7 linked regions of the Neurospora crassa OR74A genome follow. The protein of the gene in region 3 purifies or fractionates together with the protein of the main gene of each other region. This does not show direct contact. Links are inferred from orthologs where the notes say so. Each region holds a gene or a part of one and is shown on either strand. Other genes may lie near its edges. The genes, in order: NCU03066, rbg-40, cpc-2, NCU06409, NCU07041, NCU01612 and NCU00925.

Region 1 (3,938 bases), on a different chromosome or scaffold from region 3:
CGGCCGTGCCAGCATTGCTTATTATGTCGGCCAGGCCCTGCGCGGCAAGGCTACGGAGGAGGACGGCTTCGTCATGAAGATCTTTAGCAATGGCTTTGTTGTGCTCGTGCCGAAGTTCGGTATCGAGAGCTTGATCCGTCTGCGTGACCTGGCGGAGCCGGAGCCGGCGGCGACGTATGATGCCGAGACGTACACGCTGACCACATCGGGAAGCAGGGAGGTTAAGGTGGAGTTGTTCCAGAAGGTCAGGGTGAGGGTGACGGATCAGAAGGATGAGACGACGGGGAAGAGGGGGGTGAAGATGGAGCTTGTTAGTACTTATTAGATTTGTTGAAGATGGATGCTTCAGTATTTGAGAAGGGGTACAGGTTAAGAATACCCTTGATGGACTTTTGTAGAGCAATACATTGTTTTTTTACTTTCGGCTATCCAAACGTTCATGAAGTCATTTTCGGAATGTCGTTGCTTTCGAATTCGATAATAGGCCATTGAAAACACAGCTCGGTATGATGAACGATGCAGGGAATGTCAGAAAGAATTTAAAGCTTCACTTCAAAAGCCTTTGTCATAGAGGTGTTTATGATCAGGCTATATTTGACCTATTTTCTACCAGCCGGCCTGCCTGTCTCCCTTTTTGCTCTTTCCCACCTTGACGCCAAAACGCCTCTTCACAAAGATGTGTCCAGCTCCGGGGTTCGTTGTATTGTGTTTCTGACATGCAAAACAACAAAATACTCATTACGACATTGACCACCGACGCAACCGAAAACAAAAAAGAAACCAAAAAGTGAAATGCTCAACAACAACTGCCAACAGACAAAGATAGGGGGAATAAATCGCTCTACTGCATCTCAACATCCGGAGTCGCCGTCTCCTCCTCATCTCCCCAAAGACCATCCAGCTTGAACTCCTTGGCCCACTCGGTCACGATCACCTTCTGATCCGCTAGGGGCTCATCAGCGGTAGCAGACTTGCCGCCAGCAGGAGCAGGAGCAGTGGCGGTACCAGCCACAGCCAAGACGGGAGCATCGATCCAGCCCTGGATACGACCGTCGCGCCAGTCGGTCACGACAGTCATGGCAGCGGCTTGGATATTGGGGATACCGCCCCTGCCCAGCCTGCCGCGCTTGCGGGCAACCTGGACAAGGAAGTCCATGGTGGGGTCGCCGTTGTTGGGGTCGCGCAGCAAGGGGGGAAGGTCGTACACCTTCATCATCTTGTCCATCAACTCGGGGGTGGCCGACAGGCGCTTGAGCAGCAGCGTCACGGCGGGGACCGGGTCCTCGATCTGCTTGGGCGGGATGGCATTAAGGAGCACCAGGTGGGCGTGCGCCTCGGTCTGGTTCTTGGGGGTGAAGGTCGAGTTGCCGGCAGTGGAAGGGAACACGATACCGGGCGAGTCGAGCAGCGTCAGCTTGCTGTCGATCTTGACCTGGCGGATCGAGGTGGTGACGCCGGCCTCGGCGCCGGCCGGGCAGGCGTTGTGCTGGCCGCGGCTGTTGCTGAGGCGGGACAGGAGGGCGTTGATGACGGACGACTTGCCGACGTTAGGGTAGCCGATTACGCCAACCTGGATGGAGCGCTTGAGGTTGCGCGAGACGGCGTACGACTTGAGCGCACGGAAGAGAGCCGCGCTGGTGCTTTGGACGGTAATGTCGCGGTGCTGGAAGGTGTGGGCGTTGGGGGCAGGGTTGGAGGCACGCAGCGGCAGCGTGGGGAAGTAGCGGCGCAGGTGGGTGAGCCAGCCGCGGAGGACCGGGGGAGGGATCAGATCGACCTTGTTGAGGATGAGGATCAGGCGCTTACCACCGTGGGCGGCGGCCATGACGGCGCGCTCGACGTCCCTCGAGCGGGTGCCTTCGGGATCACGGGCGTCGAGGACGTAAAGAATGACATCAGCCTGCTCAACAACCTGCTTGAAGACCTTGTCGAAAGCCTTGCGCGAGGAGGCGCCGCCGGGAACCTCAATAACGCCGGACTGTGTGGGTTCGCCATCGGTCTCGTCGTCGGACTCGTCGTCATCGTCCATCTCGTCGCCGCTCTGGAGCTCGCGGTCGTACTGCTCGGCAGCTTTCCTGGCGCTGGCCACCAGGGCAGCGAGGGGGTTCGACTCATCGTCAACGTCGCTACCATCCTCCTCCATAGCATCGTCGTCGTCCATCAGATCGTCATCGAACGCCTCGACATCGCCCTCGGCGCCCGTCTTGGTGTCCTGGCCAGTCTTGGCCGCCTTGGCCATCTCACGACGCTTCTGCTCCTGTTCCTTTCTCCGAATGCGGTCCTCCTCGATCTGGTTCAACAGCTTCTCCTTGTAGGGGAAAAGGTTCGGGATACCCGGGTCCTTCTTGAGCTTGGAGCGCCATTCTGGGTTCTTCTTGGCGAGCTTTCTGTCCTTGCGTTGCTTCGCGGCCGAGGCCTTCTGGATCTTGTGCCTGAGGCGTACGGGTGTACGCTTCGATTTCGGCTCTGTTTTTAAGTAACGTCAGTCAATGTGTTGATTGGAAGAATATGTTGTTCTCAGCGAAAGATTGACTGACTTTTGGGCTTTGTTATCGATCCGGCCATTTTGAAGATATGCTGCTCCTAATGTCAAAAAAGGAGGTACAGGAGGATAATTGAGGATGGGACAGCAAGGTAAAGCAGCAAAATCCGGTCGCTACTATGGGCGGCTGTACTGATTGATGGTCGTCAAAAAATTAGAGTGGAGGAACGGTTTGTGCCACTGCTGACCGCCTAGATAAGCTCTGATAAAGCAGGGATCCGCCGTGTTGAACTCCACCAAGATTCCAGAAGTCCCCGCTTCGAATGTGGAGATGCGCGTGCCTGTAATTTACAGTCGTATTGTATGTTTGATTTGTGTTTAGCCAAACGTGGAATGTAAATTATATTGATACACTTATGGTGTGGTTGCGCTTGTTCTCTATATGTATATGAAGAATTATTGCTACCGACTCTTTACGCAAGTGGTTTGCATTGCCTTTCCAGAAAGAGGACTTTAGGTCGGTCCGTCTCAACAATCAAACACTTGTCTGCCATGACGATCCTCAAATCCATCGAACCGTCCGTCAAGGTGCAGTTCTGGATGCCATCAGTTCTGTCGTCAAGCACTTGTTTATACCACACATGGACGCTGTACGCTTTTTTTGAGTTTTTGGATCATCATGGATTCAACAGAACACCGTGCCCCGCTCGCATAATTGATCGTCGCTTAAGCTGACAATGGCATTGCACTATGCAATGATTATCGGCAGAGCAGACACTCCGGACATTGGGTCATCTTGGCCTACGTAGACAAAGTCCTGAAGCAAAATAGCATGCTAGCATCGAATACGCATCAAGAAAGGGGGTTGTGGTGGGGAGGTAACATATCACCCAGAAACCACGCTTATCACGCTTCACATGAGGGAGTATCTTCAGAAACTCTTCCGTAGGTATCCCCCATTTAGCGTAGAGAAAGACGGAAGAGACCGATTGTTTCCCAAGTTATCGCACCCTTCAATCGCTGTTCTCTTGTAAATGCATCCAGGACTTGCGAGTCAATTGTATCCTTGATCTGATGGGCCCTTTCAACGCGTTCAAGGAGCTAATTTATCGCTAATTACAACAACGACTCATCCTAACGCTGCTGGGACAGTTGCTAGTTGACCGTATCGAGGTTTCCGATCGACCGGCACGCGAAGTGCTCCGCCTAAAACTCCTTTGCTGTTTCATACTGAACCCGAAGCACACGCTTTGCATCATCCATCAGGTCCATGTGCTGATAGATAACACCAAGCTCGCCACTGGCTTCGATGCGCAGCTCACTTGATGCCGACATGGCCATTGCTTGCTCGAGCAGGTCTTTTGCCTGCTCATACTTGCCAAGGCGTCTGTGTGTACCACCGAGTTTGGTAAAAGCCAACTGTTTGTAACGGTCACCGCTCAGAATGGCACCGGAA
Region 2 (3,399 bases), on a different chromosome or scaffold from region 3:
GGCTCGCGCCCTGGGGGGCCCTCGGGGGCGGCAGCTTCAAATCGGAGGAGCAGCGCCAGCAGCAAGCCAACGAAGGCCGCAAGATCAAGGCGACCGAGGAGCAGATCAAAATCAGCCGGGCTCTGGAGAAGATTGCGCAGCGTAAGAACACAGCCATCACCTCCGTCGCCCTGGCGTACGTGATGCACAAGGCTCCGTACGTGTTCCCGATTGTTGGCGGCCGGTCGGTCGAGCACCTGAAGGGTAACATTGAGGCGCTCACGCTGGCGTTGTCGGACAAGGATATCGACGAGATTGAGAGCGCGGTTCCGTTCGATATTGGGTTTCCTAGCTCATTCTTGTATGGAGAGAAGGTTCCTGCGCACCCCAGTCAGGTTTGGTTGATGGGTATGGCGGGCACATATGATTATGTCCCGGTGCCGAAGCCTATCGTGCCAGCGGCGGAAAATGGTCAGTAGAGCCGACATCGCCGCCAGAGGTCTTTGAAGGTTAGGTGGGAGCAGAAGCTAAAGTATTAGTACGTTTCAATGTGATTCAAGTTGGGCTTTATTCGATTGTGACGTGTGTCAAACTGCTTTTGCGGAGGGTGTCATAATCAACATATGGGTTGCAAAAAAACTGATAAGCGTAAAGTCTTAAAAACCTGCTTGGCACGTCTTAGTACAAATTTGCTTGATAGAAATGCATAGGATTTGGGGGTATCTCAAAGCTGACATGAAACGCGTTTCTTTTCTCCTCTCGATGTGCTTCAAGCCCTTCGCTTGCCGCCCTTGCCGCCAAGTGATAACTTTTCCAGCCCCTTCTCTGCATCTGACAAAGGCCTTCCAACATTTGCCGGAATCTCGAACACGGCGTGTTCCTCTTCCTCTTGTTGATCTTCCTCATCTTCCTCATCATCTGTATCGCTTCCACTATCATCCTCCTCATCCTCGTCCTCGTCCTCGTCGAGTTCTTCTTCCTCCACAGCCTCACCCGCATCAATCTTCGCCTGTTGTTCCTGAATAGCCTTCTCCAGTTCCTTGAGCATCTTCTTGGTAAATCCTGAAGCCTCCACAGTGGCGTCCAACCGCTTAGCTCCATCCTTGCCAACCGTCTTCTTAGCATCCTTGAAGAAAGGACCGGGTTGTGTGGGCACAAAGTGGAAGCGCTTCTTGAAGAACCTCTTGATGCATTCGACATCGCGGTCAAAGTACATCTCGGCGTTTACGTGGTCCATAGACACCATTTGTGGGAAGTCGATAATGACTGGGACAAGGGTTACCGTCTCCGTCTCCTTCTCCTCGCCGTCCTCGATCGTGTACTTGGTGGTCCGCTCCTCTTTGATCAAAATGTTGAACTCGTTGAAATCACCATGGATGAGCCCGTGCTTGGCCAATCGAAGGATGAGGTCGATAAGCTCAGCGTAGAGGCTCGCGGGGTCTGGAACCGAGGAGACCTGTCTAAGTGGTAGGGACTCGACCAGGCTCATGACGATAGTGTGTCGGGACTGGGAAATCGGTTCGGGAACGGGAAAGCCTTCTTCTTGGAGAGCCTGCATGAAGGCATATTCCTTCATGGCCGCAAGCCGCGAGAGATACATCCATGAGCCGCCTTGCCGGTTGCGCAAGTAGTCGCGGTTGGACTTGACGGTACGGAAGGAAATGCGGCCTAGGCGATGGATCTTGAGAATCTTCTGCTTGCCGGTCTTGTCGGCTACGATCATGATGTCGGATTCCTTGCCAACACCCACACGACTGCCAACGCTGTAGACGACATCTTTCGAGGAGTGGGTGTGTAGGGCCAGATAGTCAAGACCGCCGTAGGTCAGTCGGTAGCCGTCGTACTTGGCCTCCTTCATGCGTCCGATGAGGCCAGACTTGGCAAGGGTCGCTATGCTCTTGTGAACACCACTGGCACCGCCCTTGAGACGGGCAATTCTCTCGATCAGAGGGGTCGGGACGAGCTCGTGGTTCTTGCTGCCCATCTCAACGGCAGTCAAGACTCTCCAGTCTTCTGCCGTGAGATGGCGTAAAACTCTGGTGTCCAAAAACATGATTGTGTGTTTCTTTTTGGATGTTTTTTGTTTTTTCCCCTCAGGTGATTGTCGGCCTAATTGCTGTGAGAGATTTTCTGATGTTGTATTGATCCAAGAGAGCTATTAGGTTGCTGTCTACGACGCTCTCGTCAAAGTCAAAGTCAAGGTGGGTGAAGCGCAAAGCTGATGTCCAGAATGGAAAGTGGGCGTCCCCCAAATTCCAAATGCACGGTTGCGATAACATCTTCCCGATAAGATAGGGCTGGCCGTGGGCTCCATTCGCTGAGCTGTGCCTGCCCGGTCAAGCGCCAGGTCCAGGCCAGTAGCTTATCTTATCAGAAGCTTGGGGGGAGCGGAATTTGTATCTTCCAGGCTCTGATGACGCCTCGTCCCCACCGAGGCTTCCAGACCCACTTGAGGCGGGCAGCATTGGATCGCAGGGGCGTTCTCAGCCAGACGGGGGAGCTTCAGGCGGCAAGCGAGTCGCGTAACCACCATCGGAGCTCCCTGGCGTTAGTACCGTAACTGCCACTGACCTTTGCTGGCTTTCAGCAACTGAGGTGCTTCTGGGCGAACCTGCAAAAGCTCCAACCTCCAAAACCGTCACCTGAACAACATAACAACCTCCAAACAACCGCAGCCAGCTCATCCACTTTTGATTTTGACATTCTGCTCACGACTGGAGCTCAAGTTCCTGTCGCTCAAGCAAACTCGGTGACAAAACTTGAACATTTCTTGCAGCAGCGAACGCCACCGCCGCGTCCACCTACCCCGGCCAGCCCAACCGACCTTGGTTTCCCCTCCAACTGGACCCATCGGCTCCGCGAATCCTCCCACCTACAACCATCACGGCCAGTAATCATGGCGCAAGAAAGCGACCTGTCCAAGACGGCCGATAAGGGCAAGGGAAAGGCCGTCGATGACGAGAAGAAGCACCAAGATGTCGATGGAAAGACCCCCGCAAACGGAAAGAAGGAGGAGGAACAGAATGGTGGGTTTCTCGGCCACTCCGACCGACTTGAGGTATCGGCGCCGGGCTTCTGCTGACAGCGCTTTGCGTTAGCTTCCGAGGAACTCAGTGAAGAGGATCAGCAGCTCAAGAGCGAGCTTGAGATGCTCGTTGAGCGGCTAACGGTTGGTGCTTCGCAATGACGTGATACAGGCTGAAGACCGGCTTCTCTAACAGTACAATGTCTTCAGGAATCCGATGCGACCCTCTACAAGCCGGCCCTCGAGGCCATGAAGAACTCTATCAAGACATCCACATCCTCCATGACGGCGGTACCGAAGCCGCTCAAGTTCCTGCGCCCGCATTATGAAACCATGACGAAACTCTACGACGAGTGGCCCGCTGGCGATGATAAGTCATCTCTCGCAGATGTTCT
Region 3 (4,242 bases):
CCAGGATCATTCTTGGGTTCCTGGTCCTGTTGATGGAGTCCAGCGCCCGCTTACCGATGGAGGATTTATTAAAGAGGGTTTCGAGGGTAGAAGGGTAGAAGGGTGTAGAAGAGTATGGCCAGTTGAGGCCGGGAATGGAAATGGAAGAGTACCTAAGAAAGAAACGAGATGGGGAAAGATGGAGTTGGGGATGGCTTCGGTACTCTAGGGAGGAAAGAGGATGAGATTGGTGGAAAGGGAAATGGAAAGGGGAATGGGTGGTGTGAAGGGAGATTTAGCATATGTAGGGTTGGGGAGATGAAGGGGAATGGATGATAATGAAAATGAGGTTGTGTTGGCTAGGAGATAGAAGGGTAGTTGTGGGTATTGTACGCGTACGTCAAGGAGACTTTCGAGGTGGTCGAGTAGCTAGGAATGTCGACGAGGACGACTTGAGTGAGCGGGATGTGAACGAGTGAAATGGATATCAGGAAGCTTACAACTTAGAGGCGCTGAGGATGGGGACAACATTGATACCAATTCACCACATCACACAACATAACCCCGAATGCATCACGCGTCAATCACCACACATCACACATCACCGCAAACGGACACATCAAATGGTTCATCTTGGCCTTCATTATCATTCATTGCCATGTGGTGGACCAAAAATACGCTGCACGTAGAGGCTCTTTCGCAGTGACATTAGAATGCAACTTGTTCCCATAGCTCCCAGTTGTCCTTTCATTTTGATATGTTTTAAAATGAAAGAAAGCAAAGACGATACAAAGCAGTTCCGAGAATACGCCTTTACCATGGAATCCTTCGAAATTGCCCTGATGCAGCAGCAGCGGCGGCAGCAGCAGCCGCACGACGCTTGGAGCGGCGTCGTCCTTCACGGACAACTGCCGACAACCTGCGCGCAGCCAGCCTCCCGTCCACAACGTCCCCTAGCCAACCAGTCCCGGCTCCGACGTCTCCGCTTAAGCGCGGGACATGACACCCCAGGCACGGATGATGTTGTCGGTGTAACCGGCGAAGAGGGTCTGGCCATCGGCGGACCAGGCGAGGGAGACGCACTCGGGCTCGCGGGACTTCTTGCCGATGTTCTGGAACTCGGGCTTGAGCTCGTCGACCTTGCTCTTCTTCTCGAGGTCGAAGATGATGATGCTGCTGGAGGTGGCAGCGCAGAGCCAGTAGCGGTTGGGGGAGAAGACAAGGGCGTGGATCTCGTCGTTGGCGTTGAGAGAGTAGAGGTGCTTGCTCTCGTTGAGGTCCCAGAGCATGGTGGTACCGTCCTTGCCACCGGAGGCGCAGAGGGAGCCATCGGGGGAGATGGTGACGGCGTTGATGTAGCCGGTGTGACCGATGTGGTCAGTCTGGAGCTTGCAGGACGAGAGCTCCCAAACCTGATTGAGTTGAGACTGTTAGTCGCAAATCCTCTCGAAATCTCATGCAGTTTCTGACAAGGAGTTTGTGATTTCCGAGAAAATCAGTGCGTGTGATGTTGGTCTCATGGCCCGAGGGCTCTGAAGTAGCAAATACTATTTTGAGAAAAATATGCATGCATCATGGTGTCGGGTTTTTTTTGGGGGGGGAGTAAAGCAGGTTATACAACATACCTTGACGAGCTTGTCCCAGCCGGAGGAGACAATGACGGGGTTCTGGGGGTTGGGGCTGAAGCGGACGCAGGAAACCCACTCGGTGTGGCCCTTCTCGGTGATGGTGAACTTGCAGTCACCGAGGGTGTTCCACAGCTTGATGGAGCGATCGCGGGAACCGGAGACGATCTGGCGGTTGTCGGCGGAGAAAGAGACGGAGAGAACGTCGTTGGTGTGGCCGACGAAACGGCGGGTGGTGGTGCCGGTGGAAAGCTCCCAGAGACGGAGGGTCTTGTCCCACGAGGCAGAGAGGGCGTAGGCACCGTCGGAAGAGATCACCTGCCGCGCCAATCAGTCAAACTGCCCGCGATTCCAAAATATCCACACAATCCTCCAATGTCGAGTATTTAACGTACACAGTCGGAGACGATGTGAGAGTGGCCGTGGAGACGGCGCTTGGGGTAGCCGTACGAGGTCTCATCGCGGGTGAGGTTCCAGATGATGAGGGACTTGTCTCTGCTACCAGAAAGGAGCATGTTGGGGCTAATTGCGAGAGCATTTGTAAGTTCATGATCTTCGCGCGAGTATTATGCGGTTCATTCGGTGGTTTCGTACTTCTCCAAAGAGGTGGCCAAGCTGGTGACCCAGCCATTCTGTTCAAGATATTGTGGTCAGTTTTCTGCATTTCCGCCTTGCTTGCTTTCCCACCACATCTCTCTCTCTTTCTTTCTTTCGAATCGCTGTGCTTGCTGTCTGCTCTGCTGCCATGTCCCCATCATCGTCGCCGTCCAACTTGCTTCTCGCCGTTCGCAGTACCCGTTTCAGTTTGCGCCCATCGCGCTCCTCCTTAGCCCACCCACCAGCGCAGACGTTGACAATAACAACAACATGGCAGCAACCGCAGCAGCAGCAGCAGCAGCAGCAGCAACATCAGCGAAACGGGGGCGAACCGAGCGGGCAAGAAATAAAACAAACTTACGTGGCCCTCCAGGGTGCCCTTGAGGATGAGTTGCTCAGCCATCTTGCAGTTCCTTTCTGGTTGATCAGGGGAGGATCAATGGGAGAATGGGGGAGCTTTTTCACGGTGCCTCTGCGCGGGTCAGAAATCGTCAAAGGCACAATGCGGAGACAGGCGACGAGATCGAGGAATTCCGGAAATTTTTGTGCGGCGGAAAATAGGGTCGGCCGACACAGCCAACTGCGGTCGCTGGGCGGTGGGGTCGGCTGCCGTCTTGGCGCTGTCGCCTCGAAATGGCGGGCTCACACTGTCTTTTCACTCGCTTTTGGCGGGGGCACCGACTGCAGCCCAGGCCTGCCAGCCCGGAACTGCGGTGTCGTCACTTCAAGTGCACTGTGCCATTGCCGGCCCGGCAAAGGCTGGCAGCGTTCAAGTATACAAGTACTTAGTTACTTGAGAGCTTCACTACCCGTCTGTCACCGGTCGATGACAAACAAATTCACCAAGGTTCAGATATGACTTCACTCGAAATACATCTGGAGCAATAGACGTGTGTTCGGATCGAAATTCGTTAATGGAAGAACAGTACATCAAGTTCTACACAATGATGTATTATCGGAACCACTTAACATCCGCTGTATAGACCATTGTCCGTCTATCTTTATCTCTGTATGGGTATCTTGTATAAACTCAAGAATGACAACAAATGCTAATGCTCTGAATGATGCGCCAACCCCATAACTCCCCAAGCCTTGTGAATCAAGCAACAATAGCTTTGTGCCATCTTCATAGCCGTAATTCTGTGAACATGACACTGGTCGTGACCGATGACTTCTCCTTTCTTTTCACATGCCATTCTGTCCGGCCTCCATGTACCTTCTCGCAAAACCATGCCATAACCAAAGCCAACCGTGCGCTCATAGTAGCCTCGTCATCCTTGAACTAGATGACCCCTTCCCTCGTAAGCATCTTCATCACCACTGCCCTGCGGTCACCTCACGCCTTACTTCCCCGTCAACTCTCCCGCCAACTTCCTCACCCCCGGCCTAGCCACCTCCTTCCGATAATACCCCTTCTCCGCATTCACAATCATGCTGTGGTCCGCAATCTCCACCCGGCCCTGCTGACTATGCATAGACGCGGGCGCCACCTCCCTGCCTTTCGCCTTGGTGTCGTCCTCCACCAGCTCGCGCATCGCCGCCTCCCACAGCGCGTACCGCTCCCTGCGAGACGGATCCCGCTGTGCCGTGGCCGACACGTCCTTTTGCTTCGCGATCTTGCTGGCGCGCATGAGACGGCGCAGCGCCTGCTCTCCGGCCTTGGCTTCCTTAGCGGCGGCTTCGCGGATCTTCTTAGGATCGCCGCGGGGGATCTCGTCGGGTGCCAGTGGTCGTTGGGGAATCTTGGTGGGTAACTGGGATTGCTGGGCTGCTACTGCTGCTGTTGCTGCTGCTGCCTGGGATTCGGCCATCGTTTGGGTCTGGGTCATGGTGACGGTGGCTTGTGTGTCGGTCATGATGCTGTGCTGGGCGGTCGTGGCGGCCTCGACGCTTTCGGGGGTGTACTTGTAGGTGTGCACGCTGGGGAAGGAAGGGAATGAGCTCGGGATGTAATTCTTGGCTGCCTTGTCTGCGGCGCCGTCGAGTTCGGGATCGAGGACGGGAAGGTCGGTAGGGATGGCGGCGTCTAGAGGGAGATCCT
Region 4 (4,095 bases), on a different chromosome or scaffold from region 3:
TCTTCAACGACGTCTCGGGGATGGCGTTTGCAATGGCTGTGAAAACCTCAGTAACGTTATGTCCGGTCTTGGCCGAAGTCTCAAAGAACAAGAGACCCTCCTCCTCGGCGTATGCCTTGGCCTCGTCCGTCGAGATCTTGCGTGCGTCGCCCGAATCCTCCGCATTGTCGTCGCCACCTCCGGAAGCCTCGGCAGAGCCGGCCGAGTCGCTGGTCAGATCCAACTTGTTGCCCACGAGCGCGATAACGATGCCGGGAGACGCTTGTCGCTGGAGCTCGGCGACCCAGTGCTTGGCCTTGATGAGTGAAGTAGGTTTCGTCAGGTCGTAAACGACAAGGGCGGCTTGGGCGTTGCGGTAGTACATGGGCGCTAGAGAGGCGAAGCGCTCCTGGCCTGCTGTATCCCAAATCTCGAACTTGATCGTCCTCGTGGGCAGGTTGCACTTCTGGGTTAGGAAGGCGGCTGCAAAAAAGTGTCAGCTAAACTGGTGCAAAGAAAGTCGTCATGACTTCAGGAACTAACCTCCTATCGTGGGCTCCTTGTTCTCTTGAAAGTCATTGTTGACGAATCGGAGGACGAGCGACGACTGTGGAACGATTTGTGTTAGGCATGTGTTTCTCGAGCATGGTGGTTTTGGAGCAGAAGACTGCGCACCTTTCCGACAGCAGCTTCACCTAGAAGCACCAGCTTGACGCTGCTGCTCGGCTTGGGCGCGTTCGTATCGGCCATTGTCGTTGAAGTGTATTGTTGCTACAAATCTGGGTGGATGGGTTGTGGAAACGGCGGGGCTTGCGGCAGCGAGCAACTACAGCAAGGGACAATAGCAAGAACGGCTATCTTTGATAATGCGACAGCGACAGAGCAGTGCAGTTGTGGAAGGGAGGACGTTGGGTGGCTGCCTGTTGGAAGACAAAAGATGTCTGAAGATGGATCGTTGATGGGTTGGGAATCGGAGTGAGGTGTGACGTGATAGGTAGACGGCAGCAATGAGAGTAAATGGATGGATGGAGCTTGTTCATTCAGTTAGTTCCCTTCCAGTCGGAAAGCCAGGCTCGCCGGGATCCAGCAGGCATTCGGTCGGGCCACGGGCAGGCGTCGCATGTCCTCGATGTCCCCCCTCGCTTGCGCTGTGAGTGGACTCCAACTTCCCCTCCATGCCAAGACTCATAGCCACATATGTATGCCTTTGTGAACCGTGCGCAATCTCGTGGCAGGCAAATTGGACTACAAGTACGTACCGCCAGCTGTAGCCCGGGGACTGGACTTCGAAAAGGTCCCCACTAAAAAGTTCACTTCGAAAATTTGGGGGCGTCAAAGTCGCAACGAAAGTCTTCCATCCTTTATGCGCCAGGATTGACTTTCCACCCCTTCGCCCTAGCATCTTCAAATCTAGCCCACCTCAAGATGCCTCGCCCAAAGTCAAAAGCGGCGAAAGCCAGAGTCACAGGCGCCAATACCGATCCCATTGTGCCTAGAAAGGGTCTGTTCGACGATGATGCCTCCAGCGAAGACGAGCAGGACGGCGGTGCCACCCTCGGTACCGCTGCCGACTTGAAGATCAATGAGGAGTACGCCCGCCGTTTTGAACACAACAAGAAGCGCGAGGAACTCCACCGTCTCGAGGAAAAGTTCAAGTCCAAGAAGGAAGGTGGGCTAGGCGAAGACGAGGACGAAGAGGACTCTTCCGAAGACGAGACCGAAGACGATGAGGGCTTCCTTGTCACCGAGGACCTCGACGCCGAAATCAACGCCACTCTAGAAGCTATCAAGAAGAGGGACCCCCGCATCTACGACAAGGAGGCCGTTTTCTACACGCCAATTGACGCCGACGGCCAGCCCGTCAAGGAGAAGAAGGAGAAGCCCATGACCCTGCGCGACTACCACCGCGAGAGGTACATGGCCGGTGACATCGGTGCCGACGAAGATGACGCGCCCAAGCCCAAGACCTATGCCGAGGAACAAGCCAACCTGAAGCAGAACATTCTGTCTGAGATCAATGCCGCTGTCGGCGAAGACGAGGAGTGGAGCGACGACGACGCCTTCATCAAGCCCGTCAAGAAGGAGGAGGCGCCTACCGAGAACGGCGTTCACCCGTCGCGCGCCAAGGCGATCGATCTTAACGAGCTCGACGTCAAGAACGCTGACAAGAACCCCGAGGAGTTCCTTTCCAAATTCATGCAGTCCAAGGCCTGGGCGCCCGCCGACGGCTCGCGCTGGGAGGCTTTCGAGTCGGACGAGGGTGAGGACAACTTCCCCGAGATGGCCGAGGAGTTCGAGCACGCCTACAACATGCGGTTCGAGGACCCCAACAAGAGCAACGAGTTGCTCAAGACGTACTCGCGTAACCTGGCCAACGCCAAGTCCGTCAGAAAGGAGGAGCTCACGGGCAGAAAGAAGCAGAGACAGCTCGAGAAGGAGCGCAAGGAGGCCGAGAAGAAGCAGCGCGAGGAGGAGCGTGCTCGTCTGCGCCGTCTCAAGATTGACGAGGCGGCCGAGAAGCTATCCAAGATCAAGAAGGCTGCCGGTCTCACCGGCAAGGAGCTGTCCGACGAGGAGTGGATGAAGTTCCTCGAGGACGCCTGGGACAACGACCGGTGGGAAGAGGAGATGCGCAAGCAGTTTGGCGAGGAGTACTACGCCGAGGGAGAAGGCGACGTGTCCGGCAGCGACGAGGAGGACGACGAGGACAACGAGGACGGCAAATCCAAGAAGAAGAAGAAGAAGCTGCCCAAGAAGCCCGAGTGGGACGACGATATCGACATCAAGGACATCATCCCCGACTTCGACGACGCTCCCGATGTTGTCCTTTCCGATCTAGACCTCCCCAAGCCCAACGGCGACGACCAAAAAGCCGAAGACGAGGACGCCGACCTCGGCTCCGACCTCTCCGCCGATGAAGATGAAGGCCGTCCCTCCAAGAAGCGCAAGACCACCGCCGACATCAAGAAGGAGAAGCAAGCCGCCAAGCGGGCAGCCAAGGCGGAACTAGCCAAGCTTGAAGCTTTGGTCGACACCAAGATGGAACTCGACACTCCTCGCGCGCTTTCCGCCCCCAAGGACAAGAAGTACAAGGAGAACCTGTTCCCGTTCCGCTACCGCGAGACTTCGCCCGTCTCGTTCGGCATGACGGCGCGCGATATCTTGTTGGCGCCCTCGGACGCCGCGCTCAACGAGTTCGCCGGCCTCAAGAAGCTGGCTACTTTCCGCGACGCCGAGAAGAAGCGCAAGGAACGCAAGAAGCTTGGCAAGAAGGCCCGTCTCAGGCAGTGGCGTCGCGAGACGTTTGGCAAGGAGTTCGAAGCGACTGGTCCTACCTTTGGGTTCGAGGCGCTGGACGAGGATGGTACGCCCCTTGGCAAGAAGGATGAGGGTGCGATTAAGCATAAGAAGAGGGGTGAGAACAAGGACAAGAAGAGTGGCGAGAAGAAGAAAGAGGAGAAGAAGGAAGAGAAGAAGGAGGAGAAGAAGGAGATTGCTGCTGGTGAACGGGGAGCGGATAATATCATCGAGGGAGAGAGGAAAAAGAAGAGGAAGAGAAGCAAGAACAAGAAGGACAGTGAGAAGGCTGAGGCCTAGAGTGCTTCGTTGCCACTTCGGTTGTCAGTATAGTTGGACAAGCAGTGGCGGTCACGTTTGTTTGTTCTGTTTAGGGTTTTGTATCGTTTAGTCTATTTTAGAAGGCGTATTGCATCGCGGTGTTACGGAGAAATCATACAAAGTTAGAATTAGCTATACCAATCCTCGATGCTTCCTCTCATCTCGGAGTTCATCGTCGTCTTCGCTACCTACTCAGTTACTCTGCATGACACTCAGATGGTGTTCAAGTTGTCTTCATGCTTTCCTGAAGAGAAGAGACACTCCCCTTCTCCCCCCTCTCCCCTTCCCCCCGGAGGCGGAGCGCCCGTCCTGTTACTAAAATCCGTCATCGCCACCCTTTCCTCTCTTCTATCCTCTTTTTTTTTTTTTTTTTCTCTTTCTTGTGCACTTTCGACCTTCCTAACATCTGGCCCTGTCTTCCAGTTGTTACTCTGTTGGCCACTACAACCAACTCCAGCCTCTTCTCATATTGTTGGCCACTTTGGCAGAATAATCAGG
Region 5 (3,501 bases), on a different chromosome or scaffold from region 3:
GACGACGCCGTAGCCGTCAGCGAGAAAAGGTTGCTCGAAGGAGATGCCGGGGTAGAGGTGTTGGCGGATGAAGAGGTCGCGGTGGTTGAGGGCGCAGGACCGGAGGCGGATGAGAAGCTCGCCGGGGCCGGGGGTTGGTTTGGGGATGGTGTTTAGTTGGAGGCTAGATGGGGAGGCCGAGGGTTAGTCATGCGGGGAGGATGGTGGGAGTGAGTTGGTTGGTGGTGGTGATGGGGATATGTATGGGGGAGAAGAAAGGTGAGGTTATGTGAAGAGGAAGAACAAAACACTTACGGGTAGTAAACCTGGCCGGGTTTACCGTCAATTTTCTTGACAGTGAGTTGGAGAGGCATCTTGGCGTTGTGTTTATGTGTGGGTTGTGTTTTACCGAGGCCAATCCACTGGATGAGTGTTGAAGTATGTTCAAGAAGTGAAAGAAGGAAAGGGTCATCAAGTTTAAATCAGTTGCGACATCGGCCAGATTTGTTATCAATTGGACCCGGGGAAAGGGGTGTTGTCACTCTGTCATTGAGCCTCTCCCACCAACCCTGCCACCGACCAATGGCCGCCCCCACTCTCCCCCGCATTCGTTGCCGGATCCCGCTCCAATGATGCAACTGCCTCGGCCCGCCTTGTGATGCCCCTGGTTTGCGATCCGCCGGGGTGGAGCAGCCCGGTTGTGGTGCGGGTCTGCCACATCGGGCTTTATTCGCGATCGTCATCGGGTTTTGTTTCGGCCTTGGGTTTCGAAATGTCGACAGATTCAAGAACCGACATCTTTTCTGGACAAGTCATTGTTTTTGATAACACATTTGACAAAGGCTTTTGGTGAAATTTAGCAACCAGATCACCCTTGGATCCCGAAGCAGGAGAAATCTCAATCGTCTGCTGAAGTATGGGTATCATGGGATTCCAGGATCCTTTCTCTTTCTCTTCATCATCGTCTTCCTCAACTCCATTTCCACCTCCACCGCCCCCATATTTTGGATTGCACCACTTGTACCAGCTTAGTCGCTCGTCTTCCTCTTCTTGGCCTTCTTGTCCGTCAACTCCTCGGGCGGCACATACTCCTTCTCGCGCTCGCGCTTCTTCTCCTCCTTCTTCTGCTTGGCCTTCTCTGCGCGCTCCTGCTCCGCCACCCGCTGCTTGGCCTCCTTGCCGAGAAAGTATTCGCCGGACTCGATCTGGAGATCCACCTTGCTCTTCTCGGGCGCAGGGGGGAAGGGTGTATAGTTCTTCTTGGTCTTGTCGTTGACGACGTGGGGGACGCGGCGCTTGGAAAGCGTGCGCTTCTTGAAGTTGGGGAGGTAACGAGACCAGTCTTCGTGGGCAAGAGCGGGGTCCTTTGCGAGTTCGCGTTTGATCCTGTTTTCTCATGTCAGTTATTGTTGTTGTGGGGCGTCGCAAGTGGGCGTGCAGGCGCAAAACTTACATCAACTCCTTAATCATGTAAATTGGGTGAACGTTGTTCATGGTGTCCTCAACAACCCTCCTCACCTCCTTCAGACCCTTGAAAGGACCCATTACCGACACTGTGTTTCCGTGCACGAGGATATATGTTTGTGTGAGAAGCTCGAGAGCCTTGAGCGTTGTGCCGTTCTGTCCGAGAATTCTTTGGCGCCTCTTAACAAAACGCTCCTTGTTCCGTACCATGCTGCGGATCTTGATGATGTCGCAGGCCATGCCATCTTCGAGAATTTTGATCGCTTGTGGGGCTGGTACTGAACGGGCGAGCAACTTGATGAGATCGCGGGCGTTAAGAATAGCTGCGGGGTCATATGTCTGGACGTGAGTTAGCAAAGAGTGGTGACTATAAAGACAACAAACGCATCCGCCGTACCTTTCTTGTCGTCTTCACTGTCATGGAACCCTCCACCAAATCGAGAACTGCGGTGATGCCGTGCTTGTCGAGGGCCTTGGTGATGAGTGGCCACGAGTCTCGTAGATAACGCTCGCGGTACTTGGGGAATAGGGTCATAAACGAAGACTCCTCGAGGAAGGGGCCGGAGGATTCGTCCTTGGTGAAAGGGTCGACCTTCCACTTGTCGATGTCGTCTGTATCCCACGGCTTCTCCTTCTTGTGTGTGGACGGCATTTTGGCTGTAAATGTGTTTCTCGGGGCTCTTGTGGGCTGTTGATGTTTATGAATAATCAGAGGTCTCGATTGAGGTTGTGCGACAGGTCACGATATCAGGGCGAGCGACTTGGGTCTGGTGGTTGGATTTGATAAATGGCTTGTTGAAGGGATTGTATGGCAAGATGGCCAGCCGAATCGCGCTGCACGGATGGAAATTTTTGGAACACAAGCCTGCCGCAGCTGGTAAGAGTGGGGGCGCGGCGCTTCTTGCAGGTTGAGTTCCGGCTGCAGAAGCGCGACAGGATCAGCGGCCAGCTGGCAGATGCAGGGGCAGCTCCTTATCTGATAACTGGAACTTCCACTTGCATGGAAGTTGTAACTTTTGGAACCTGGTATTTTCATTGAGGACGACAACAGCATAAAAAAGGAGCAAATATAAGAAAACGACCGGATTCAGTTATTTCAAATCTCAGCGAGGTGGAAGTTTGGTTCTGTCATTACTGTCCTGCTGTACTTCGCAACGAGTCTATCCAAGTACTCTTGGCCATCTGCTCCTTTCAGCTGTTTTTTCCCCCCAGGTTGTAGATGTTATCTTATCTACATACTAGCTTATCATGACAGGGGCTTGCACGGCACGGCACGGAACATCAACAAGAAATCACACGTGCTGGCGACATCAAAAGGTCTTGATATGCCATGGTGGGATTGGCGACAAGAGCGTTTTGACTTGCTGGGGTCTCAACGTGATTTGTATACTCCCAGCAGGGCCATTGTTGACACCTGTACCGTCGGTAAAATCTCACCAAGGTGTTCAAGATACGCTGAAGTAATTGATGGTGAAGCATCGAATCCCGCCCGAGTCAAAGTTGACGAACTTAACAGCAGCAATTTTCAGGTTCGCCGTGATAAAGTCGCGGTAAGGCTGGATAACGTTCGTCGTTGGTTTTCCAGCTGAAGAACCAAGAAATCATCCCAGGTTCGCCCAATGAGAACCTGCAAAGATCTGACGACCCTGGCGCGCTGTGGTCATCATGATCGGGCAAGCACAATCTGCACTGTGGTACGCCACGGATTACAGCATTCCGTGCACGAGGTTTCGAAATCCATCAACGTTTTCCGTCAGAAAGGGGTAGGTTCGGTTTTGTGTCGCCAAGAATCAGAACTCCTTCCGTCCCTGCAACATCTTCCCCTTCTTTTTCTTCTTCGGCCCCGCGACATTCTACACTACTCCCTTCGATTTCCCCTTCGTATCCCTGGCGTCGGTCTTTATCCCGAACCCCAAGACCTTCAGGTATCGCTGCTTCTTGTGACCTTTGCCAAGATCGACGGCAATTGTCGTTGTCTATCCTTGAGAAGAAGAGAAAAGGAAAAGAAACAAATCGAATTCATCATAAGCACAGACGTCATTTCTGGGACGTTGACCT
Region 6 (4,229 bases), on a different chromosome or scaffold from region 3:
TTGCTGTTCCCGGCGGAAGAGGTCGCACCGGTGCGGGCGATGTTCTCCGTAACGTGTACGAGCGGCGGGCGACTCGGCTTCTCTTTCTCGGTATCCTTGGTCTCTTCACAACGACCACTACCATCAGCTACCACAGCAGCAGCGGAAGAAGACTTGTTCTTTCTCTTCCTGTCTCTACAACGCCACTAACGCGCGCTGCCGCTGCCCTTGATGGCTTGCCTCCGCTTGACCTTGTCGGTGATACGAGTGAGCGCCGACTTTATCTCGCCCTTCTCAAAGGTATCGAGGTCGTAGTAGACGGGGGCAATTTCCTGGTTTACATAGGTCAGTTTCAAGATGCCATTGACAAAGGGAATTCATAAAAGGGGAATACGTACAAGAAGCCACTCAGGACGAATGTTGGTCACTGTCCTGACGTACTGCTTGGTTGTGAGAACGAACTCGTTATAGACGACCCAGTCGTATGGGCTCGTCACCGACGTACTCGGGTGGATCATGACGAGCTGGTCGTCCTTGACCGTCTTGTACACCTTGCTGTTGCTGCTCTCGCGCATGGCCACCTGCATGAAGAAGCCAGCCAGGAGCGCGCGGCGGATGTTGGTGTAGTAGTTCTTGTCCTGGAACGGCGTGCTGACCAGGCTAATGTCGTGCGTCTCCATAATACGCTTGAGCTGAGCCCGGACGTTATCGGCGCTCGACAGGTGACGGTATGAGAGGAAGTGCTCGTGGCACCAGCGCTTCATGTCGTCGCCATTGGTCTCGGCACCCTTGAAGGCGTGGTAGGCGTTCAGCAGCGTCAGGTGGTCGCCGTCGGGGTGGGCGAACTGCATCTTCATCTCGTCGGCCCGCTTACGCGCGTTGTTGGGGCGTACCCATATCGAAGGGACGGAGAGGAGGGACACAATGGAAAGGATCTCGTTGGAGCAGTAGAACTCGGGCGACGAAATAAGCATGACGGCGAGGGCGGGGTCAAGCGGGAACTCGGAAGCCAAACCACCGAGACGCGTAAGCTCACCATCGTCATCTAAGCAGGCGAGGTAGTTAAGCTCCTCCAGGGCGCGCATCATGGTCTCGGGCGCAGGAGGGTCCATGAGATCAAAGTGTACCAAATCCTCAACACCAAGCTTCTTCAACTCCAGAACAGTGTTGGCCAGGTTGGATCGGAGAATTTCAGGATAGGTTTGCTCAATAAGTTCCTTCTTGAAAGCCTTCTCGGTGTAAAGACGGAAGCATTTACCGGGCCGTGTACGACCAGCACGACCAGCTCTTTGCTGAGCAGAGGCCTTCGAGATAGGAGAAACCAACAAAGACTCAACACGAGAGCGGGGGTTGTAAATCTTTTGCTTGCTGAAACCGGGGTCGACGACGTAGACGATACCATCGATTGTCAAGGACGTCTCGGCAATATTGGTCGAGACAATGACCTTGCGACCAGGCCTGCCACCCTTGCGCAGGGGCTCGGGGGCCTTTTCGAAAATGCGCTGTTGGTGCGCAGGAGGGAGAGTGCCGTAAAGAGGGTAAACCTTCATGGGGCCAGCATCCGACTCGCGAATCATGTCGTCCACCTCCAAGCTGATTCTTCGGCAAGCATCCTCAATCTCCTCCTCACCAGTAAGGAACAGCAAGATGTCTCCCTCGGGTTCAGTGGCGTGGATCTGGAGGACGGTCCGTACGGCGGCCTCGAGGTAGTCACGCTCGGGCTCGGGGGTATAGAAGATCTCGACGGGATGGGTACGACCGGGGACGGCGAGCAATGGGGCGTTGTAGAAGTAGGACTGGAACTTTTGGGCATCGAGCGTGGCAGACATGACAATGATCTTGAGGTCTGACCTGCGGGCGGCGATCTGCTTGAGCAGGGCCATGAGGATATCGGTCGCGAGGGTACGTTCGTGGGCTTCATCGAGAATGATGCAGCTGTAGCGGGACATGTCGTGGTCGTGCATGGACTCGCGCAGGAGCTGACCATCCGTCATGTACTTGAGCATGGTCTTGGGGCCGGTCCGGTTCTCGAAACGAATGCTGTAACCGACTTCCTGGCCCAGTTCGACATCCAACTCGTTCGCGACACGCTGGGCAACCGACATGGCCGCCACCCTTCGGGGCTGGGTACAGGCGATGAGCTTGCCGTTCGTGTGGGGGAGCTCGTCGTAGAGGACGTATTGGGGGATCTGGGTGGTCTTTCCGGAACCCGTCTCACCGACGAAGACGAGGATCTGGGTGTTGTGGTACATGTCGAGGAACTCCTGGCGCTGCTTGTGGACGGGGAGGTCGCGCCTCACTTTGAGGATGTCGAAGTATCTCTGCGAGTGCGGCTGGCCGGTCCACGGGTTGAGCTCCGAGTCCTCGGCCTGGGCGGCCTGGGCGGCGGTGGTCTTGTGCCTCTCGAAGGCGTCGAGGGGCGATTCGAAGTCGCCATTGGTGCCGTTGCCGTTGCCGTCCTCGTTGAGATGGGCGAGGTAGGGGTTGTACTTTTCGGGGGCAGCATCGCCATTCTCGGCACGCTTGATGCGCTTTGAGTCCTGGTCGTTGCCGTCCATGTTGGATCTCTTGACGCCTTTGTCGTCGTGGCTGGCCATTGTGGTACCGACCGAGGGCAGCTGGCCTTTTTTTTATATCTTGTTTCTTCGAGCGAGAGGGGTGGGTACTAGGAAACAAAACAAGAAGACCGAACTGAAGGGGAAGAAGAGAAGCGGCGATAGGCAAAACAGAAGGCGGAGTGTCGATTATGGCACCTCCAGTGGCAGTGATGAACAACAGCGAAACAGAGTGGAGGGGAGGGCAGTGGGCAGGCATGCGAGGCTACAACTTTTTTTTTGTTTGATGTCAGGGCGATAGGTCAGACCTGGCCGGCAGTTCCTGGCCGCAGCGACTCTCGACCAATGAGGGGTCACAGTGATAAGCTTCAGTGGAGTAAGGAGTGTCTTTGGCAAGCGCTGATAAGCAAATCACTGTAGCATTGGACAGGACCCTGATGGGCACTAAGACGGTAATTTTCTACACTGTTCTGTAACTGTCAGGTTCACTCAGTTTGTTCCTGCTGCACGTGAAGAAGAAAAAAAAAAGAAAGAAAAAAAGAGGCAAAATGCAGGCAGGTTGATGAAGTTTGTGACATTGTGACATTGTGACATTGTGACTTTTGGCGCATTGGGTTTGTGTGCAATCTTTCTTTCACTCAGCTATTTCATTTTCCATGTACCTATCCATCTATACCCCTCCATACCTGTTTATTTCGAGTTGGTGACCGTTGAGGTTGGACTTTTTCCTCTGGTGCTTCTTCCCTGGAAATATCCACTGCCATGGGGTCAGTCCGTTTTGGGAAAAATAAAAAAAAAGTACCATCCAACTTTGATTTCAGTCTTTACAATTTTCCCTGTGATTGGGTCCGATACCTCATCAAAGTACAGCCTATACATTCTTCTACTGTATACAGGCCCCAGAGACTAGTATAGCTACCTTCTCCGTACCCCTCCCGCTGCTGTTCGTACCACCTCAAACCTAACCTGGACCATCGCGGGGTTATTTACTTCTAGTCTCGTCCACTCTCTTTCACTCACTCGGATTCACATAAAAGTCCAGTCACTCACTCATCATGTCTTCAAATCGCGGGTTTAACCCCGAGTCCGAGTCTTTCGAGCAACGGCCGCCCTTTTACATTGGCCAGCATGATGTCCAACGACATGAGTCGCCCACTGACAATCAGTACGGCCAGATCTTGGACAGTGGTGTAAGTCTTTCCTTACATTAAAGTAGGAAGAGAAAGAAGAACGAGCAACAGCATAAATTCTAACACACATGAGATGAGAATAGTTCAACTTTGTCACCACCCCCATCACCAACGAGCACTTTCACCAGCGCGTGATCGACTTGTACAAGAGCCATCTCCAAGAACGGGAACAGTGGGTCACCGAACGGGGACTCACTGACGCCCAAAAGGCCAACCCGTCGCTGCCACTTCCTACGGTTCCTACCTTGACTGACGACGATACATCCCTGTTTCCCAGCAGCTATGTTGGCTCGCTCATCGCCTATGCCAGCCCATGGATCGACCTCTGCTCTGCCGATCCCATCATCTCAGACATCTCCCGTCAGGTGCTGAACCTCGAGCTCGCCTACGCCAACTTCTGCGGCTCCAGGACCATCATTATCCCCGGCCCAAGACAGGACGATGGCCGTGCCGTTGCTCAGTATGCACGTGCCATTCAGGAGGCTCAGGAAGTCGGTGGTCGTGT
Region 7 (4,044 bases), on a different chromosome or scaffold from region 3:
ATGTGGAGGGGGCCCCATTCCACCGATTGGGGCGGGTTTCGTGCAGTTCATCTGATGCGATGGAATTAATCTCTTCAGTGTCCTTATCCCAATCCTCGTCGCCGGAATCTTCTTGATTCAAGTGTGAAGACATTGCATGGCCCAGTTTAGTGGGTGCTCTTCCCGCGTTGGCAGGGTTGTTGAGTGCAAATTCTGGTGATCAATCACTAAGGACGGGAGTGACAAGAGATTGAAGGTCGAAGAACCGCACTGACGTACGAAAGCATCCCAGTAGTAGTACCACAGCAACAAGGATGGAGAAACTGATGAACCTCTGACTCCTCACTCAATTCTTTTACTTTGTACTCTCACCTTTCGTTGGTCCTATTTTCGGTTCGTTCCAACTTCTCTTGGGCGTTACGGTTTGGTTCGTAGCGACCCCTAACCCTCAGACGAAAGCCTCGTGGGCGCTCGTTTTCATGTCACGATTATTCACATTTGCATCAGTTCAGGACGACGAGTAGGATTCAAAACTTGTCGATTACACAAAAAGAAAAGAGAAAAATGAGCCTTTGGTATCCCATTTCAAAACATAAAGTGCTAAAAAATTACGCCTTGCCAGTGTTTTAACCTTACGCCTTCTGCGCCTTTTCCTTCTCCAGCTTTCTCCTCTTGGCGCGGAGCTTCTCGTCCTGAGCGCTCTTCTTGTTGTTGGTATACTGCATCTGCTCAAACAGCTTGCGCTTCTTCTTGCTCAGCATGCCCTTGGCGCGCTCCAGGTCCTCCGCCTCCTCGCGTGCCTTCTTTTCAAGAGCCTTGCGCTGTTCTAGCTTGGCTTTGGTCTTGGAGTCTACCTTTGTATTCTGCACCTTCTTGCCTTGGAGCTCGGCTTCTAGCTCAAGCTGACGCTGGAGGGTCTTGGACTCCTCCTCATCTTCCTCAGCATCCTCCTCCTCGGCCTCCTCGGCATCCTCCTCGTCACCCTCCTCCTCTTCTTCATCGTCCTCGGCCTCATCAACATCCATGTCGTTTTCGACATCGGAACCATCCTCAGCATTACCCTTCTCGGCATCCTCGAGGTCGGCTTCAATAGCCTCGGCCTCGGTTTGCTGAGCCTCAAGGGGCAGAGTAGGATCGTACTGGCCAGGGGCGGCCTTGACGAAGGGGCTAAGATGGGGAGGGAGAGCGGCGCCAGGAGCATAGAGCTCAGGGCTCTTGAGTTCCTCGTCGTTGACGCAGTCCCATACCCATTGGGGCTGGACATATATCCTGCCGGGGTATCTCTGGTTGGGTCCGACCTTCTGGGCCGTCTGATTGTCCTCGCCATCGCCATCCTCGTTGGTAGCGGCTTGTACGACTGGCCTGTCAATGATGTGATGGGTGATGGAGGGATCCGACTCGTCATTTGTGAAGGCACCCTCGCCGAGGACGGAATCCCAGCCTATCCTCTTGCAGCCAAAGGCACGAAGAATGAACTCGAGAGGCTGGCGGGGGGTCTCACGGGAGAGGTAGAATGTGAAGTTGGCGAACAGCTGCGAAGGGTCACTGCTGCTGTACGCCGGCTGAGGAAGAACATCACCACCAGGGGCAACTGGCTCGAACTTGTCGATGGAGTCTGTGGGCTTCTCCTCATCGTCGGCCTCGGCATCTTCCTCGGCAGTCTCGTCGCTCTTGGACTCGTCCTCCTTCAGTTGCTTGATAATCTTGTCAACCTCAGCCTGGACCTTGGGGTCAGGACCCTGCTGTTGTTCCTCCCCGTTTGTGACGGCCTTGGTCTCGCCCTGGGTGGCCATGTTGACACCCTCCAGAGAGAAAGCGCCGAGCTCAGCACCGTTCTCGTCCTTGAGCTGGTCGAACTTGGGAGGATACTTGAGGCCGATCGAGCTGTAAAGTCGGTAGTTGACGAATCCAAGAAGAGTCATGTAGAACTCGACGAAAGTGCCCATAATGCGGAAATCGACATCGCCGACGATCCTCTGGTTGAACTTGTAGGGAACGAGCCAGAGAATATCCTCGCCCTGGATGTTGGCCTGGTAGTAGATACCCTTGATCGACAGGAACGACTTGCGCAGGCTGTGGGAAACAATAAGGTAGTGTTGGAATTCGAGGCAGAGACGCTCGCAGCGGGCGATCATCTTGGCGGGAACCGCGCTCGTGGAAGGGAGGTTGGCGAAGAGGAAGAGCATGGACAAGCAGTCATCGAGATCGCGGAGCGCGTCGTTGAAAGTCGGGTAGCGCTCACGGATGACGTGGTTGAGAGTGTACCTGGGCTTGCCAGTGGCCTCGGGGCGGGCAGCATGGCGCTCGAAGCGGGCGGCATCCGAAACATCACCTCTGCCAAGAGCACGGGAGATCTTCTTCTCGAGCACCTTCTGGTCACGGAACTTTTGAAGAAGGGGCTCGTGGAGGAGGTACTGAATGTCCTTGGTGTAGTAGAAGGTGGTCGAGGCAGTGGCCGACTTGGAAACCTTCTTCTTGTTACGAGGCTCGCGCGGGTAGATACCCTTCCAGATGCAAAGCTTGCGGAAGTCGGGAAGGCTAAGCTGCAGCTTCTTCACAGCCTGTGTGCGGGTGATGTAGTTCTTGGCCGCGCCGGCCTGGCCCTTCTTCTTGATTTTTGGCATTTTGGGGTGTGGTGGTGGTGGTTGTGGTTGTTGGGTGTAGGTGGAAGAGTGAGAGAAGGAGAAGAGGACCAAGGATGGATCTCTTCAGTCTGCAGACTCGATCGTTATCGAAGCCAATTGTAGGTGGGGGCGCTCTGTGCACTTGCAATCAACTTTTTTTCTGACCCTCGCGGTCCTGAACTTTTTATGCCACTTCCCACCGCCTGAGCTGATCAAAGATAAGATAACGTAGCGGATGGAAAGACGGGAGGCATCAGATAGGCACAGATGAGGCTACTAGAATACATACTGGGCCCGTCTGGCCCAGATAGGTTCCCGCTCCCGTCTGGATTGGATTCCAGAACCCCTTGTCCCACAGGGACCCGCCAGCTGTGGAGGCCGGGCCAGCTGTCGGTCTGCTTTGGCGGGGACAGCGATTGACAAGGCGACCTAACGTGCTGGGCGCGACTCCTGTATAGCGCAACTGGACGGGCATGTCGTTAGAAGTAACTTGACCCTGGGACAAGTTCGACATCACAGCTCCCACCTCGTCGTATGGCGAATTGAACAATGAATGGCGGCAAGGTAACGTTGAGGAGGACGGCTGGCTTATACGCCGGTGCTGCCGTCCTGCGACTTGCCCTCTTTACTCTGTTCCCCGGTCTTCCAGACCTCCTGACTGGCCGTGTCGAGATCTCAACGCCAGTAACAAGCTTCAAGCGCCGTATGTTGTAGCTTTTGTTTTTCTCTTCGGCATTCGTCGCATCGTCTCGAGGAACACAGGTTTGCTAACTACCAAAATCTAGTCCAAGAAGGCCTCTTCCTGTATAACCATAACGTCTCTCCTTACGATGGCGGCGTCTACCACCAGGCGCCCCTCTTGCTGCCCATCTTCAACTTGCTCCCGAGCTTCGCGGCGTTTCCCATCTTCACGTACCTTCTCTACATCGCTATCGATATTCTGAGCGCCCATGCTCTTTTAAGGATTGCAGAGTCTGGCGAGGCCAGCTCGTCTGCGCGCTTCACCTCCCCGCGCCGTGACAAGCGTTGGAGTGGTGCCATCATTGCCGCGCTCTTCCTGTTCAACCCCTTCACCATCGCGACATGCATTGGGCGTTCGACCACCGTCTTCACGACCTGTGCCATTCTCCACGCCGTCGCCAATGCCATCTCCGGCAGACCCTTTCACGCCATGGTCGCCCTAGCCTTCGCATCATACCTCTCCATGTATCCGCTACTCCTCCTCCCGCCTCTCATTCTTCTTTGCTATGACAGGCAGAAGTTGCCCGCTACCGGAGCGCCCAATGCGTGGATCAAGTTTACCGCGACCATGGTTATGGATGCGTTTGGTGCTCTGGCAGTGCTTTTCCAAATGTCGTTCTTCCTGACCGGCTCATGGGAGTTCCTTAGTTCCACCTATGGTGTGCAACTTACACTGTCTGACCTGGCCCCCAATATCGGC

What was found.
Region 1: the proteins of cpc-2 (region 3) and NCU03066 purify together in Saccharomyces cerevisiae (affinity purification with mass spectrometry; 3 studies listed by BioGRID). This does not show direct contact. The link is inferred for Neurospora crassa OR74A from reciprocal best matches to the Saccharomyces cerevisiae genes ASC1 and NUG1.
Region 2: the proteins of cpc-2 (region 3) and rbg-40 purify together in Saccharomyces cerevisiae (affinity purification with mass spectrometry; 4 studies listed by BioGRID). This does not show direct contact. The link is inferred for Neurospora crassa OR74A from reciprocal best matches to the Saccharomyces cerevisiae genes ASC1 and RIO2.
Region 4: the proteins of cpc-2 (region 3) and NCU06409 purify together in Saccharomyces cerevisiae (affinity purification with mass spectrometry; 3 studies listed by BioGRID). This does not show direct contact. The link is inferred for Neurospora crassa OR74A from reciprocal best matches to the Saccharomyces cerevisiae genes ASC1 and KRI1.
Region 5: the proteins of cpc-2 (region 3) and NCU07041 purify together in Saccharomyces cerevisiae (affinity purification with mass spectrometry; 4 studies listed by BioGRID). This does not show direct contact. The link is inferred for Neurospora crassa OR74A from reciprocal best matches to the Saccharomyces cerevisiae genes ASC1 and KRR1.
Region 6: the proteins of cpc-2 (region 3) and NCU01612 purify together in Saccharomyces cerevisiae (affinity purification with mass spectrometry; 5 studies listed by BioGRID). This does not show direct contact. The link is inferred for Neurospora crassa OR74A from reciprocal best matches to the Saccharomyces cerevisiae genes ASC1 and PRP43.
Region 7: the proteins of cpc-2 (region 3) and NCU00925 purify together in Saccharomyces cerevisiae (affinity purification with mass spectrometry; 3 studies listed by BioGRID). This does not show direct contact. The link is inferred for Neurospora crassa OR74A from reciprocal best matches to the Saccharomyces cerevisiae genes ASC1 and NOP7.

What each region holds. Positions count from the first base shown.
Region 1 is NC_026501.1:4,414,055-4,417,992, forward strand, and holds NCU03066 (GTP-binding protein), read right to left. Parts: upstream 2,671-3,938; 5' UTR 2,566-2,670; coding exon 2,538-2,565; intron 2,467-2,537; coding exon 842-2,466; 3' UTR 501-841; downstream 1-500. Other genes in the region: NCU03065 (mitotic control protein dis3), read left to right, coding at 1-325; NCU03067 (hypothetical protein), read right to left, coding at 3,689-3,938. UniProt on the Saccharomyces cerevisiae protein: GTPase required for 60S ribosomal subunit export to the cytoplasm.
Region 2 is NC_026504.1:2,085,409-2,088,807, forward strand, and holds rbg-40 (serine/threonine-protein kinase RIO2), read right to left. Parts: upstream 2,197-3,399; 5' UTR 2,033-2,196; coding exon 749-2,032; 3' UTR 501-748; downstream 1-500. Other genes in the region: NCU07723 (norsolorinic acid reductase), read left to right, coding at 1-458; rpn-1 (26S proteasome regulatory subunit rpn1), read left to right, coding at 2,876-3,005, 3,078-3,148, 3,215-3,399. UniProt on the Saccharomyces cerevisiae protein: Required for the final endonucleolytic cleavage of 20S pre-rRNA at site D in the cytoplasm, converting it into the mature 18S rRNA. Involved in normal export of the pre-40S particles from the nucleus to the cytoplasm.
Region 3 is NC_026507.1:3,907,037-3,911,278, reverse strand, and holds the start of cpc-2 (guanine nucleotide-binding protein subunit beta-like protein), read right to left. Parts: upstream 2,801-4,242; 5' UTR 2,605-2,800; coding exon 2,563-2,604; intron 2,237-2,562; coding exon 2,199-2,236; intron 2,127-2,198; coding exon 2,000-2,126; intron 1,923-1,999; coding exon 1,605-1,922; intron 1,392-1,604; coding exon 966-1,391; 3' UTR 480-965; intron 409-479; 3' UTR 99-408; coding exon of another isoform or gene 75-98; 3' UTR 1-74. Other genes in the region: NCU05811 (hypothetical protein), read left to right, coding at 75-98; NCU05809 (hypothetical protein), read right to left, coding at 3,545-4,242. UniProt on the Saccharomyces cerevisiae protein: Component of the ribosome, a large ribonucleoprotein complex responsible for the synthesis of proteins in the cell.
Region 4 is NC_026503.1:1,301,258-1,305,352, reverse strand, and holds NCU06409 (ribosome biogenesis protein Kri1), read left to right. Parts: upstream 1-1,295; 5' UTR 1,296-1,404; coding exon 1,405-3,576; 3' UTR 3,577-3,772; downstream 3,773-4,095. Other genes in the region: NCU06410 (GTP-binding protein YPT52), read right to left, coding at 1-462, 523-586, 655-729. UniProt on the Saccharomyces cerevisiae protein: Required for 40S ribosome biogenesis. Involved in nucleolar processing of pre-18S ribosomal RNA.
Region 5 is NC_026504.1:4,998,693-5,002,193, reverse strand, and holds NCU07041 (90S preribosome/SSU processome component KRR1), read right to left. Parts: upstream 2,275-3,501; 5' UTR 2,096-2,274; coding exon 1,841-2,095; intron 1,783-1,840; coding exon 1,433-1,782; intron 1,366-1,432; coding exon 1,008-1,365; 3' UTR 501-1,007; downstream 1-500. Other genes in the region: NCU07042 (alcohol dehydrogenase), read right to left, coding at 1-163, 295-353. UniProt on the Saccharomyces cerevisiae protein: Required for 40S ribosome biogenesis. Involved in nucleolar processing of pre-18S ribosomal RNA and ribosome assembly. Essential for vegetative growth.
Region 6 is NC_026502.1:2,956,763-2,960,991, reverse strand, and holds the start of NCU01612 (pre-mRNA splicing factor ATP-dependent RNA helicase PRP43), read right to left. Parts: upstream 2,801-4,229; 5' UTR 2,577-2,800; coding exon 378-2,576; intron 312-377; coding exon 186-311; 3' UTR 1-185. Other genes in the region: pp-2 (protein arginine N-methyltransferase HSL7), read left to right, coding at 3,590-3,724, 3,808-4,229. UniProt on the Saccharomyces cerevisiae protein: Pre-mRNA processing factor involved in disassembly of spliceosomes after the release of mature mRNA.
Region 7 is NC_026501.1:6,705,681-6,709,724, forward strand, and holds NCU00925 (pescadillo), read right to left. Parts: upstream 2,732-4,044; 5' UTR 2,604-2,731; coding exon 612-2,603; 3' UTR 501-611; downstream 1-500. Other genes in the region: NCU00926 (hypothetical protein), read right to left, coding at 1-133; gpit-2 (glycosylphosphatidylinositol transamidase 2), read left to right, coding at 3,153-3,306, 3,389-4,044. UniProt on the Saccharomyces cerevisiae protein: Component of the NOP7 complex, which is required for maturation of the 25S and 5.8S ribosomal RNAs and formation of the 60S ribosome.